Linked DNA regions of Arabidopsis thaliana. The protein of the gene in region 3 interacts with the protein of the main gene of each other region in a pairwise test. Each region holds a gene or a part of one and is shown on either strand. Other genes may lie near its edges.

The links.
Region 1: the proteins of TCP17 (region 3) and AT5G61590 interact in a two-hybrid assay, tested with the Arabidopsis thaliana proteins (one large-scale study listed by BioGRID).
Region 2: the proteins of TCP17 (region 3) and NAC066 interact in a two-hybrid assay, tested with the Arabidopsis thaliana proteins (one large-scale study listed by BioGRID).
Region 4: the proteins of TCP17 (region 3) and NAC012 interact in a two-hybrid assay, tested with the Arabidopsis thaliana proteins (one large-scale study listed by BioGRID).

The regions. Positions count from the first base shown.
Region 1 is NC_003076.8:24,763,689-24,767,509, forward strand, and holds AT5G61590 (Integrase-type DNA-binding superfamily protein), read right to left. Parts: upstream 1,824-3,821; 5' UTR 1,571-1,823; coding exon 965-1,570; 3' UTR 568-964; downstream 1-567. Other genes in the region: PFK4 (phosphofructokinase 4), read left to right, coding at 1-139; ERF104 (ethylene response factor 104), read right to left, coding at 2,955-3,680.
Region 2 is NC_003074.8:22,928,472-22,932,091, reverse strand, and holds NAC066 (NAC domain protein 66), read left to right. Parts: upstream 1-1,635; 5' UTR 1,636-1,684; coding exon 1,685-1,856; intron 1,857-2,066; coding exon 2,067-2,899; 3' UTR 2,900-3,086; downstream 3,087-3,620. UniProt on the Arabidopsis thaliana protein: Transcription activator of genes involved in biosynthesis of secondary walls. Together with NST1, required for the secondary cell wall thickening of the anther endocethium, which is necessary for anther dehiscence.
Region 3 is NC_003076.8:2,582,796-2,586,555, reverse strand, and holds TCP17 (TCP domain protein 17), read right to left. Parts: upstream 2,199-3,760; 5' UTR 2,035-2,198; intron 1,685-2,034; 5' UTR 1,672-1,684; coding exon 943-1,671; 3' UTR 521-942; downstream 1-520. UniProt on the Arabidopsis thaliana protein: Plays a pivotal role in the control of morphogenesis of shoot organs by negatively regulating the expression of boundary-specific genes such as CUC genes, probably through the induction of miRNA (e.g. miR164). Participates in ovule development.
Region 4 is NC_003070.9:11,864,717-11,868,940, forward strand, and holds NAC012 (NAC domain containing protein 12), read right to left. Parts: upstream 2,439-4,224; 5' UTR 2,235-2,438; coding exon 2,048-2,234; intron 1,953-2,047; coding exon 1,687-1,952; intron 1,251-1,686; coding exon 627-1,250; 3' UTR 513-626; downstream 1-512. UniProt on the Arabidopsis thaliana protein: Transcriptional activator of genes involved in biosynthesis of secondary walls. Together with NST1, required for the secondary cell wall thickening and lignification of sclerenchymatous fibers and secondary xylem vessels (tracheary elements).

The DNA.
Region 1 (3,821 bases), about 22 Mb from region 3:
GTTAACTGATAGGATGTGGGCTAGACTCCTTGCATCGACAAATCAACCGAGTTTCTTGACTGGTGAAGGAGCATTGCAGAATGTGATCGACATGGAAACTCAAGAAAAGATCGATAACATGAAGATCTCTTCTATCTAAGAAACAGGTCAGTTGATATTCATCAACTGTTCCAAATGTATACTAGATATATATGCATAGGAGATATCTTTATCAAAAAACCATGAAGTAATTTCATTGTTATAACTTATAAGAATTCTTTGGTTTTAGTTATTCCTAATAATAATAATCAACATCCATCTCAACGATGAGGTTGAGATGTTAATACATATCTTCCTCTGTTTACTTTTCCATATTGCAACTTGTGCATCTCTCCCCTCTTGAGCTGTTGCGTGTGGTCCATCCAATTCTTTGTCATATTTAAAAAATGAATGCTGACTTGTACCCAACCATGAGACAAAACTCTGGCTGCTATATTCTTTAAACTTGGTCCCTCTTGCAACTTGTTCATCTTTCTACTCAATTCACTGATTCACGCTTTCTGGACATGTGAACTAATTAATACCTCAGTGATATCGAATAGTGAATACTGAAGCCACTGTACGGTACTGTTTGTGTCATTGGAGAAACTTTAAGGCTTATGTTAAGGTCTTTCAGGTAGAAATTCGATTTTAAGTATCACAGTAGATTAATAAATAAATGTAGTCGATAGATTTAGGTCCTCTTGTCTTCCCAAATAGTGTACTCTGAATAAACCGAAAGGACAAGAACTTTGTTTCTAGAACCTTAAGCTCTTTAAGACAAGAGAAAACGCAGAAGTTCCATTGTTACAGGAACTCTTTAGTACATATTTTGCAAGAGTTCTTTTCAGTACACTAGTCTAACAGGTTCTTGGCTCTATACATGATGCTTCACATACTTAAGATATTAACCTATATATACTAATTAAACATCACTATTCCCCCATTAGTTTGATGACGATGATGAAGTACTTGTTGTTGTTCCTTGAGGCTGTGGTACATCGGTTCTCCTCCTTTTTCGGCATGAATTGACCGGAGCATCATACTTTCCGGCATCCAAAGGAAAGTTGAGAACAGCTTTTCTTCCCCTGAGCTTAAAAGCTGCATAGTCGTAAGCCCTTGCAGCATCAATATCACTCTCAAAAGTGCCTAACCAAATCCTGGATCCTTTCTTTGCCGGATCTCGAATCTCTGCTGCAAATTTCCCCCATGGCCTCCTTCTCACGCCTCTGTAATGTCTCGTTTCTTCAAACCTCTTTGTTTTTTTCCGGTTTGAGACAGTCTCAACCTCAGGTGACGTTGTTGTTGATGATGATGATGATGATTCTGCTTCCATTTGCAGAATCTCTTGGACATAGGAATCTGGATCAAGAACAGGTGAACTAGGTTCCAGTTTCGGAACTGGGTTAAAGGGTTCTAGAGACCAGAGTCCGGAGACAAAAGCAGTATCATCAAAGACAAAATCTTCAATGAAACCATCAGGGATCATCAAGTCTTCAAATAGATGTTTCTGTATAACATCCAAATCAGAGCTTTCCTCAAAAGTCTCCATTTCTTCCTCTCTCTTTTTTCTTTAGACAAGACAGGAGAATAAGAAAAACTGCAAGTGGTGTTTGAAGAAAAAGTTTTGATGATATTGTTGGCTATATAAAGAAAGGAATCCTAAACATGTGTTAACGCAGCCATGGGTGAGGTGTCAAAAGTCTCTCTCTGTGTCTCTCTGGTTTAACTCTGTGGGGCCAAGTCTTATCCATTAAACATTTATGGAGGCAACTTAAGATATTTTGTCAGGACCCTTCAAGTTGTGCCAACTTGATCTTGTCTATGATGCTGACAAATTTCACTAACATCCATTTTATTCCTCTAGAGTTTAAAATACCTTGAGCTACCCATGGTTCGAATCCTAAGCTGAATGCTAACAAAATGGTGATTATTTTTTTTAACTAGAATTTTGATTGAGTTGGTTAAGGACGTAGGTTCATTTGAAATTTTAAATCTAAAACATAACACAAACCAAAACCAAAAAGACTTGAACTACTAGTGTTTATAATCGTAACTTAAGTCTTTAAAAGCCAATCTCTCAAAAGTTTTTTCTTTTTTTTTTTTATCTTAAAAGTTTTATGATAAGATTGATATATGATTTTCGTAGTAGTAATGACTCACTAGGTAAGCTCTTAAATATCAAAAGATATTTTGCATATTCACATTCGAGTAAAAAGATAAGAAGATAATGACTTTCACTCGAATAAAAAGGAGAGACAAATTCATCAAATTGCTTGTCTTGTAGGGTTGTCTTGCTAGGATATGATTTGAAGCAACTTGATATTTCTTTGTTTCTACATAACTTCGTATAGGGCTCCACATATATAATAACCAAACCTTACCCTCTTGCTCAGTTGCTTGACAATTATACTCCTAATCTCATAATCTTTTATAATAGCATGTAAGATAATATTAATTATTTACTTTTATTGATGCTTTGTAGATAATCTTCGACAGCATTATCCATTTGATTGGTGTTTTCCACTATTGAAATTTTGAATTTGTTTAGATTTGTATGTATTTTTAACTAATTAATTGTCTTTTCGTTGCACACTATTTTTTTATAGCTCCGATTTACTTTTTCCTGATCCAATTTTATAATCTATTGACTATTTAGCAGATATGAAGTGTTTAGATATGGACTTAACGAAACTGATGACTAAGAATGTTTATACAATCAATAAATTTATAACATCAACAAATACAAAATTAAATTTATATTTTCAACATCCAAATATTCTACTAAAAAAAATAATGAATAAAATGATTGGTACTAATTAAACTACTTATTTGATATTTGCACACTACCGCTACCTTTATATTATACAAGAATAAATGAAATCATGAGAGTGACGCAAGTGAAAACGTCATCGTACGTTGACTTTTCCGAAGTTTTAAGTGACGGAGATAACGGAAAAGTTGGGAGACGTCGGAGATAACGGAGGAATACTGAAAATACCATCTCCTGCTCCCACATCCCAAAACCCCATCCAACTTGACGGCGTCAATGGTACCACCGGCTCAACCTCAGCCTCCGTCGTCTCCGACGTATTACTCTCTTCTTCCTCCACTTTAACCCTAGCCGCCTTCTCCTCTTCCGGCGGAGAACCCTTATCTCGCTTTCGTTTCCCTAATCCGATAACTCCTTCCCCAGAACAAGTTTCTGACGTAACCCTAACATCGAGAGGGAAATTCAAGATTGCTTTTCTTCCACGTAATTGAAACGCCGCTTGGTCATAAGCTCTTCCAGCTTCCACGGCAGTGTCGTAAGTCCCAAGCCAGATCCTACAACCCTTTTTGTTCGGATCCCTAATCTCCGCCGCGTATTTTCCCCACGGTCTTCGTCTCACTCCCCTGTAGTGCCTCTCTTCTTCCTCTTTCTCTGTCTTTGTTGAAACCGTTCTCGAGACGGATAGATTCGGTAAGGGCGGTTTACGCTGGTTAAGAGTCGAATTCGGTTTAGGGGATTGGTTGGTGATGGTTCTAGGGCCTGTTTCTGAGTGAAAGTTGTGAAGTTGGTTGGTAAAAAGAGATGGGTGATCAGTTTCCATGGAAACAAAGTCTGTGAGAAGGTGTTGGCTTATGAAATCGATGGCTAAAGCTTCTTGTTTAGTTGCCATCTTCACTCTACTTGATTGACTCTCTTGCTCTGTTGTATATGTGTATGTGTGGAAGTGGGAATAAGAGTGACGAGGAATCGGACTTTCTTATATAGTGGTAAAAAAACAAAGAGAGGGTTCGAGCCTTCGAGGGAGTTTCGA
Region 2 (3,620 bases), on a different chromosome or scaffold from region 3:
AATCAGATTATATATTACTCTGCTATAAACTCAGAACCATGTTAGAAAAATGAAAAAGACATTTCAGAATATTCATTAACTCAAAATTTTAATCTCATGATTTAATTTTTTATTAACAATGTTATCCTATAGCACATGGCAAATTTGAACGGCCCTTGCGTATTAATCTATTATAATCTCAAAACCATGTGTAAGAAAAAGGAAATTCAGAAAATAACCTTTTGTAAATAGGCCCCCACAAAATCTACAACATACGTAGATACCTCCTCGCTTACAGTTGTAAACAACTGTTCATCTAGATTCATGCCGTCATTCAAGTTTAAATTAATACAATAATTTAAAATTTTAATTTGGATGAATCGAATCCACCGTCGTTTCCTGAATACCAGATAGGTTAACTTTATGATTAGTTCGAGTGAACCACATGCACAATATTCGAATCTTAGACATTCGTTGCAATGTTAACTTCACATATATTTGATAAACGCTTCTTGAATCAGATCTTAATCTCTTTCTTTCTCTCCATCTTCTAAGGAGGTTGTGGATTATCATGTAGTATATCATTATCTTCGCATCACCTTCAACAAGAACAAGCTACGAGCTTTAAAGTCGTATTTAACACAATAATGTATAAAGTCTTTCTTCATCACATCACATACATTTTTTGTTGCCATCACCCTTCATTCACTTTTTTTGTTAACACTATTCGTTTCTATATAAAATAAAAATAAAATGAGGAATGTCTTGTCCATAGAGATTTTTAAGGTCGAGGGTCATCGGAGCGATGTGGGCTTGCTTCCTACATTATAGTTGATATGTGGATCCCGCGTGGACCATATTTTTACCCAATAGCTACGTGCATGGTCCCACCGCTCTCTCTCACGCACTATTCCGAAATTGCCATAAACAATTTCACCGGACAAAAAGAGCAAATAATTTCGATGTTTAATAAAGAGACCATTAGTATATTTGACCCAAAAAAAAATAAAAAAAAAAGAGAGACATTACTATAACTTTTATTAGATGAAATATTGCAACATTGTATTTATAACGGATCTAATTTACTGAATCATATTTTTTTTCTTTGTTAAAGAGATACTGAATCATGCAGAAAAATAGATAGATTTTTAAATACTAGGTGAACTCATGACGAATCAACCATTACGAGAGATTTCTGGATAAAAGCAAAAACAAAACAAAACTAACATGCTAATCTAGGCAATTAGTAGAGCGAAAAGTCGGCAAAACCAAAGGCCGAAGAAGCTTGATCGATATACTTTTTTTTTTTTGTTTTGGCTGGATATACTTGGTATGAACTAAGAATTAAGTAAAAACTCATAGGGAGTAATTTTTCGAGAAGTGCATTCACTATGAGTATAAAACAGACATTTTCAAATTATTAAAACAAGCTCTTAGAGGCTCATATGTTTAATTGTAAGTGGCGGCTCATGCGAACTTATAATGAAAACATCAAATATTCGGAAAAATAATACTCCACTGTTAAAAAGAAAACTTAACAAAGGAATTAAAAATATGAGAGCAAAAGAACACATGCATTTTCTCATGCATGTACTATTATTTATTTTTTTGCAGAGTTGATGTAAAAAATATACACATATATATAGACATACTTTGGTTAGTTATAAACTCGTTCTATTTTCTTCTCCTTTTTCTATCTTTAGCAATGAACATATCAGTAAACGGACAGTCACAAGTACCTCCTGGCTTTAGGTTTCACCCAACCGAGGAAGAGCTCTTGAAGTATTACCTCCGCAAGAAAATCTCTAACATCAAGATCGATCTCGATGTTATTCCTGACATTGATCTCAACAAGCTCGAGCCTTGGGATATTCAAGGTTCATCATTTATCTTTTATTCTTGATGAAACGTATTAATAGGGCTTGTATATATTAATTAAATTAGTTTTTTAATGCATGTGTTGAGTCAAGAACTAAAGCTCTGAATTCAGGAAATTTTGCAGAGTAATATATACTTTTTGTGATAATAAAATTTGCAGTAACAAAATTCAGTCAAAACTTAACACAACTCTTGTTTTTTCTATGTAGAGATGTGTAAGATTGGAACGACGCCGCAAAACGATTGGTACTTTTATAGCCATAAGGACAAGAAGTATCCCACCGGGACTAGAACCAACAGAGCCACCACGGTCGGATTTTGGAAAGCGACGGGACGTGACAAGACCATATATACCAATGGTGATAGAATCGGGATGCGAAAGACGCTTGTCTTCTACAAAGGTCGAGCCCCTCATGGTCAGAAATCCGATTGGATCATGCACGAATATAGACTCGACGAGAGTGTATTAATCTCCTCGTGTGGCGATCATGACGTCAACGTAGAAACGTGTGATGTCATAGGAAGTGACGAAGGATGGGTGGTGTGTCGTGTTTTCAAGAAAAATAACCTTTGCAAAAACATGATTAGTAGTAGCCCGGCGAGTTCGGTGAAAACGCCGTCGTTCAATGAGGAGACTATCGAGCAACTTCTCGAAGTTATGGGGCAATCTTGTAAAGGAGAGATAGTTTTAGACCCTTTCTTAAAACTCCCTAACCTCGAATGCCATAACAACACCACCATCACGAGTTATCAGTGGTTAATCGACGACCAAGTCAACAACTGCCACGTCAGCAAAGTTATGGATCCCAGCTTCATCACTAGCTGGGCCGCTTTGGATCGGCTCGTTGCCTCACAGTTAAATGGGCCCAACTCGTATTCAATACCAGCCGTTAATGAGACTTCACAATCACCGTATCATGGACTGAACCGGTCCGGTTGTAATACCGGTTTAACACCAGATTACTATATACCGGAGATTGATTTATGGAACGAGGCAGATTTCGCGAGAACGACATGCCACTTGTTGAACGGTAGTGGATAACGGAAATGGAAGAGAGGAAGTGACTAAGTGAGTGACATACCAAAACATTGTGTAGAAAGATATAATAATCATCATACCATATATATAGTTGTTGAAACTTTTACGGTATAAATGGTCAGATTGTGATAATTACAGTACGTAGTTATGTGATATCATTACAGAAAATAAAAGTTCTCTATATCTGTGTACATTTTATATCATGATTAACTTTATAGAAAAGAATTGGTTGCATAGTTGAATTTCTTTGGATCAAGAATATTAGTTTTTGTCTTTTTGAAACTTAATTGCCATTCGATGAACAAAAAGGCAATTACATTTTCTACTGTAAGAAATCATAGTCTGTCACATGCATCGCCGGGTGTTTTCTAATTACAATTATATGAAAAAAGGATTTTGACCAAAAGTTGATTATGATTTCAAGAGAGACAAAAGACCAAAATGATAATTAATTCGTCGACAAATTAACTTTAGGAACAGATGATTTCCATTACGTTAATTATTCAAAGTTTCTCATTTTACTCTCAATTAAACTGAAGTTTTATTTACTAGAAACTTGAGATATTTAGTTGGTAAATGCTTAGTTTGATGTTGAATAGTTTGCTTCATTCATCATTAGGAATAGATTAATTACCCAATTAATCACCCCAACAAACTTGGATTAAGATGCACCAAGTGCTTAATAATAGTAGCTAATTAACCTACCCATCAAAGCTAATCACAC
Region 3 (3,760 bases):
GAGAATTAATAGAAAGTGAAAAGAGGATCGACAAAAGAGAAAAGAAAAAAAGAAGAATAATTAAAAGAAGATATATAGGGATCAGTGCTTGACTTGACTGCAGATTCAGTTGCTGTCTTAACTGCCTCATCTTCTTCTCATTTTCCTTCTCTCATTCGCCAATCCCAATAAGGCAATACTCATCACCTAAATCTATCTCTATATAGCTAGTTGTTGGTTGGAGTATATGATTCTACTCACTTTACATTAATCCAATTACCGGAAAGCTGCTACAACAAATCATATACCTATATATGAATATTCAGGATAAAACGTTTTAGTTGTCGTAAATCCTTCCAATAGGTTCAATAATGCTTTTGCGGCATATTTGGTTTCGGAAATGTAAGAAAATAAATATTCGGTTCGATTAGTTTACATGTTAAGCCCAAAATATATACATACAACGTATATTTGTGTCATTGTGTGTATGAGTGTGTTTATTTCTATTTGTAGATGATATCATATGTGTTGTGTTCCTTGTATACTACACATGCATGTGGTTGTGGACATATGAGTACAAGCTAGGGTTTGGCGTGCAATGAGGCCTGTGTTATAGCATATTTAGGCACTACAAACTTTACATACAAATGTGAAAAGTTTGTATGAGAGATATTATTTATATTGATTGTAGCGGTACAATGAATTAGATATTCTACCAACTCAATCACAACATGAATTATGAATATGTACCTTTGCTCGCATCAGATTTGGCGTCTATTATATAATCTTTAATAAGACTGTCTACTATAAATACACGCATGTGACGATTAATCAATCCAACAATAACCATTAAACCATATAAATCTCCCTCTCTCTATGTACATATAGTAAATGCCTTACATGTCACATGACTTGAATTCTTCAACTTGTTAAAGATCGTCTAAAAATAATCTGCAGCTGGAACTACTCGATATGGTCTGGTTGTGAGCTTGTGCTACTAAAGAGTTGAAGTTGACCACCACCGAGAAACGAAGGGTACCTTGTTGGGAATAGAGAACTCATAGTTTCCGCCGCCGGAGGATTGAGATTATTATTATTATAGTTATTAGAAAATGCGACAGTGACGTTACCAGATTGGTCTAGTAGTGACTGTTGGAGATGTCCAAGGTTGTAGTGATAAGAGCTGCTAGACGAAGTAATTGTAGGGAAATAAAGCTTGTTGCTCTGGATTGAATTCGAGAAATGGTTGTGATGATCGATGTGATCAAACACATGATCAAGATTAACCCATTTCCTTTTCTCAAGATCCAAAGCTTCTCTCTGTGTTCTTCCAAGATCGAAGACCCCGGGAAAAGATTCTCCAAGGCCGGTGAGATTAGGGTTAAGTTGGTGAAAACCAGGTGGGAATTGCAAAGGAGGAAGCAAATCGACGTCGTTTTTGGCAACTTCTAAGAGCCAATCAATGACTTTGCTAGGCTGACTCAGCCCTAATCGTTCTTGAAGGTCGTAGACTTGGATCGCTGTCATCACCGACAACCTTATCCTCCTGTCTCGGAGACCACGAACTGTGCACACTTTGCTGTGTCTATCTTTGCCTCCAAATGCTCGGGAGACTCGCACGATCCTCGGATTATTCCATCGTTGCGTCAACAAGGACAAGGAACTTTTCTGATCTTCTTTTTTTATTCCCATGTCCTCTGTCGATCTAAAAAACAAAAAACAGATGAACAAAATCAATATTGTCATCACAAAGTGTTCAAATTCGGAATGTTTGTGGATTTTTGGGAAGCGTGATCACTTTAATTAGATGAAAGCAACTTCAATAGAGTAAATAACAAAAACCTATTAAGATCAAGAAAACGTATATTACTCGAACTGCATATTAATTTAATTTACTAGATATTTTGTGTATATATACTTAAAAAAGATCAAAGGAAAGTGATTCTCAAATCGAAATAGATTACAATTGAATCAATAGGAAGATCTGAGGATCCAAAGAGGAAAACAAAGGTTTCAAATTATATTACTGCAAGAAAAAAAGATGATTAATCTTACACAGAAAAACTGGTAAGCTTGACGAAGTCGTTGGGTTTAGACAGATCGAGTGAGTTCTTTGTCACGTAGGTTGAGGAAAATGATAAGAACCGAGATGATGAACAGTTATAATTTATTCTCTCTCGTTATCTAAAACTAAAAGTGTATAATATAACATATGGTTGAGGCTGAGCAAGAAATGATATCTATATATATATACGCTCCAATCCCTAGGGTTTTAGTTAGGTATAAAGAGCAATTTGTGTAGTGTGTAGACTATAGACACTCTTATCCACATGTTTTCTGACGGAAAGAAAGATGCTATGATTTTCATTAATCACCCATACTAATAGTAGATAATAAATAAAAACATATACATACACTGATACACATATACATAATCAAAATGTGTACACATGTATCTACTTACTTAGAGATCATTCTTTAGAATGTCTAGTCCTGAATCTTGATGATGCATACGATCATTCTTAACGATATCTTTGACTCCATTCAATAGAAAATACTAATGTAAGAAAATTACATTTTCATTACACACTACATATGGATCTTTTGCTATATATCATTCGAAACAATAGTTCAAAATTACTGAGAACCAACTTATACATTACATTTGGTATAGGGCAAATTCCATTATATATAGTATGTGATGTGCATCAGTAAATGTTAAGACCCAAAACTTTTAAAAATTAGGGGTTTCCTTTCGATTTTCTTCGTGAGATGATCCCAATTGAGCTCCATAATACTGTACATATTATAGTAGGCAAATAGATTGACAGCTAAAATGGTTGGTCTTAGATGGAGGATGGACCAAATTAAAGAGTACATGTTTTTTTTTGTTAAAATAAAGCATCTTAGATATGTAATATGCTTATATACAGATTCATGGTGGACCACTATATAATTTGCATGGCAGTGAGATATCTAGTTCATTCTTTTAAGCATTATTTATATACACTGTCAGGATATCACAATAACAGAATTTCATATAACAAAAATATAATTATTAAATTTCATAAGAATTCTTGTAATTCAATAACAATGACATTGGGGTTTTATATCAATGAGTGAATTCTTGCCATACTGCCAAATTTCACTATATATCTTATAATAAACTGTTTTACTTTTCTTTTAAACGTTTCACAATTTATGACTAATTATTAGCTGCTTGTATACAATGTGTATAAGTAGACCTCTGCGTATGTGTATCAGAGAATCAGAGATTGAGAAGTTTCTCTAGTTGGGACCTAAGGTCGGCTGAAGTAGATAACGATGATTGGACTTCAGTTTCAAAAATTTATTAGCCTTTAGTGCGTTGGATTATGTAATCTTCAAGACGATTGAAGCATATACAAGAAAATAGTTTTAACCTTTTTTCCTAGAAATTTGTTAAGTATGAACGATTCCAATTTCATAGAGGTCAAATACATTACATACTAGCGGTAGATCACATACTAGTGATGGCGGTTAAAAACGAACCTTTAATTCGGTTACCAATATTGAATTGGATACTTGGACTTGAAATAAGCGGTTAGAAGCTCAAACGAATGATTTCAAACTGATTTGTCCTAAAACCACAATCAATTTCAAGTAAACCCTGCTTATCTTTTACCACTGCAAACCGGACCATATTCTCTGATCGCTAGAGAATCTTATTAAGTTTGGTCACACAACCTAGCTGTAACCACAATGAGTGCAAAACGGTAACCACAATGAGTGCAAAACGGTA
Region 4 (4,224 bases), on a different chromosome or scaffold from region 3:
ATTTGAGATTTGAAATTTATAGAAAAAATAATATTACTATAAATTAACATATACATCATAGTTCTGTCATTAACTCATTATTAATTTAGAAAGTTTTTTATAAAATACGGATTCACCATGTGCGTTTGAACCAAAGTACAAATTTACCGAATATTAACTCTCACTATGGCCTATGGGCTTTATGATTCGCAAATACAAAAGATTTAAGCGATAAACATATATTCTCGTGGTTGTACAAATATGGCAATCTTCGTATCATAATTTGGATTCAAATTCAATAGTGGGCATGTAAGAAATGTAGAATGAAAGATGAGGGATGTGAAAAGTTCTACCATTTAGCTTTTTTTTTTTTTGGACATCTTTTAGCTTTAATAGTCAAAGATAAAGAACTAAATGTAATGACTTCTAAAATAGCTTAGTAAGCAATTGAAAGAGTCGTTATTCAAGTTTTGTATATAATATCATTCTTTAACTTCGTAAATTTTATGATTATAAATATTATAAAAAAATTACCCTCCACCATTAACAAATGTTAAACCCCAAAATCAAGACGTACTATCAATAGAACATGAGACATTTTTTAACAAACTTTATTTTATATTTTGTGTATGTGTATGTATAGATAATCATACAGATAAATGAAGAAGTGGGTCTAAAGACGAAGAAGACTCAGTGAAACTACTCCAAAGATCAACATTATCATCATTATTCCAATGAAGATCCCATCGCTGCATCATAGTATCACCATTTTCTTCTTCTTCATCAAAACTCTTACGATGACACGGATTATGATGACCATTGTTCAATTGCCAAGCTACGAGCCGGTCAAGACTAGCCCAGTTGCTGCAAACCGGTCTTTCGGTTATCTTCTCTTGAACGGGAGAGAAATCGAGTTTGCTTGGAGTCAGGAAACTTTGGTCGACCGGGCTCTCGGATTTAGGTGTCTCAAGACTTGGGAGTTGCATGAATAAGACATCATCTTGATGTTGAGTCGTTGTTTGGCTCTCGGGCATGCAAATGTTAGAACCGGTACGGTCCATGTAGAGAAGAACATGGTCTAAACCGGTAACGTTTTGAGTGTTGTGAAAGGTGGGCCCCTTCTCTTCCTCCGTGTCATCAGGTAAAGAAGATAGAGTGATTTTAGGACAATCGTCAATCTTTTGATAGTTCTTCTTCCTGAACACTCGACATACCACCCAACCTTCTTCGTTATAGCTCATTGGATCTTCTGTAACAACATCAGCATAGCCCTGATAATGGAACACAAATCGATCTTATGAAATGCAATAAGAGATGATTAAATCTTGATGATGTAAAAATGCAACTTTTATTTTGAAACAAAAAAAAAAATCTTTTATGTTGGTTTTTCTTTTGGATATGCAACCATAACTAGTTAACTACGTATTGTTTGTAGAGCCGTGTTAAACTATTTTAAGCCTTGTGAAAAAATCTTTTTATATAAATGTATATATGATGTGTTAATTTCATAAGAAATTATCTTATTGTAACTCAGAGAATCATGTTCGATTACTTTAATTGCAGATGCTAAAAGAAGGCTCTAGTGCGTACTAAATGAACCAAAACCTTTTATAGCATGAAACGAATCTAGCTAATTCTTTGACTATAAGTTTGTAATTTGTTTATTCTAACCTAAACTGCAAATTGATGATTGCTATATATACTTACATTAGACATTGGAGTATCGTCGAGGCGATACTCATGCATGATCCAGTCGGATTTCTGACCGTGAGGAGCTCTTCCTTTGTAGAACACGAGTGTCTTCCTCAGTCCAATTCTCCGGACACAACTGCAGATGATTTTGTCACGTCCGGTAGCTTTCCAGAATCCAGCGACTGTTGCCCGGTTCGTCCTGGTCCCGGTTGGATACTTCTTGTCCTTGTGGCTGAAGAAGTACCAGTCGTTTTGTGGCGTTGAACCGATTCTACATTCCTCTGCATTTGCATACCAAAATGGTTCAAAAATAAAGAACAAAGAAATAGAGAGTTCGTAGAAATGAAAGAGTTTTTTTTCATATTTAGGGTTTAACCTTGAATATCCCAAGGCTCAAGCTTGTTTAGATCAACTTCACGAATGACATCAAGATCGATCTTTTGAGAGTTAACTTTCTTACGGAGATAGTAATGGAGAAGTTCTTCTTCGGTGGGATGGAATCTGAAACCTGGAGGCACTTTTGATTGTCCATTAATCGAAAGATTGACCTTATTATCAGCCATTAACGAAGATAGCAATATATTTTTGGGTTTTTGCTCTAGAAGAGTAGAGAAGTTGTATGATTACGAGTGGAAATGGTTACAACTTAAAAAAAAGAAAGCAAACGATGAGATAATTTATAATGGTGGTAGGACTCGACGAGACATAGCCCCCAAAAGGGGGAAATTGTTATTTAAACAAAGAAGTTCATGCATTAAAGTGTCTTTATGAAATTAGTATAATTTAGTAAACAGATGTTTCTATGTTTAAATCGAGTTTGATCATACGTAAGTTCTGACGTAAGACATATTTCTTTTGACGTGTAATGTCATGTCATGTGTAATGTATAAAACGGAAAAATACTAACGTAAATAAACGGGTTTAGTGGGGGATTAATCTTTGTGTTTTCTTGCAATTACTTATTGCAGAATTTGAATTCCATGTGTTTTGGTCTTTACTAATGTATGTAAATATAAAGTATAGATTTGTTTAGAAGAAAATAAATGTAAATTATTTTCTAATATAGCTACGTATATTAAAATAATTTTCATTAATATATCACACACTCGTTTCATGATCTACGTCATCTACATTCTACCATGTTAATTAGTTATCTATTTTTTCCCATGTTTTTGGTATGTTCATTCCTTTCGATGTATCCTAAAAATACATCAATTTTTTTTTTCTTTTCATAATCTATCATTTTTATTCTAATATCTGGTGTCACCTAATCAAGATAATGTGTGTAACATTAACGAAAGAACTTTCCATGATTTTTTTTCTTCTTTTTGGACGATTTTCGATGTTTAATTGTACTATATTTTTTGGTGTATTTAAGTGACAAAAACGTGATGAAAGTCAAAGAAATTGAAACAAGCGGAGAAGAGCAGGGGACATGCTTTTTGCACAAGTGTGACACTTCATCTTCATTTCATCATTTAATTCACCTCTGCCTTTAGTGCATGTCCAATTAGTGCATGTATATTTCAATCTAGCTATTCATCTTAAATCGGAAATAGTTATTCAGACCATCTTACATAGTAAGTTTGAGTATTCGATGGTTATGCGAATACCAAAAAAAAACTAAAATGAAGGGTAAGGCTATATAGCCATTAATATTTAACCGTAGATATTGAAATAGCTAAAAAGAATAGAGAGTATGAATGTGGGAGTGACAGACTGACATGTTGGAATATCCACTTCCAGCTAAAAAGGTGATAGTTGGATTATGTACACAAATAACTGAATTAATTAGCAATATTTGTTTATGAAAATATATGTATATATTCAACCATTTAACATACATATATGTGTATATATTTTAGTTATGGACTTAATTATTGGAATTAAGCATACTGATATAATATGATTTACAAATAGAGGCTGGAGCAATGACACTTTAATCGTTTTCTTATTATATAATATAAGTATATAACATGTACATAAAAGTTGTTACCCTACATGCACTGTACTTATCATTTGTCTGTTGATGGGATCTTTGTGTTTCAACATTAATAATGATGTTTTGTTTCTCTAAATTCTATGCTTAATCATGCTTTTGGGTACACAATTGATGGATTAACTAATACCACATAATGATTAACCACATTTGACCTCTCATTCTTTCACTTTTTCCATTTCTTTATTCTAGTTTTAATTGAGTTGAGTGTGAAGTTTCACCTCGTAATTTGTTCCCATACTAATATTTTGATATATCATTTCGTCATTCCCTTTTGTTAAATCATGTGTGTCCCATGCTCACATGTATGTTATTAACTGAAAACTAATTTCGAACAAAAATATCACAAAAATTAATTCACATTTGTCATTAAATCGAAATAAGGAGAAATAAATTAAATATTCAAGAGAATGTTAAGGCTTTTACACTAAAGTTGATATATATTGAAACAAGAATATTTAATTTATCTAACATGTTAACTAAATCATTGAAGGTGCTCCAAAGTTGATGATCTTGCTGGAGCAAGTTAAGAGCTCACATCATTAGAAATCGTT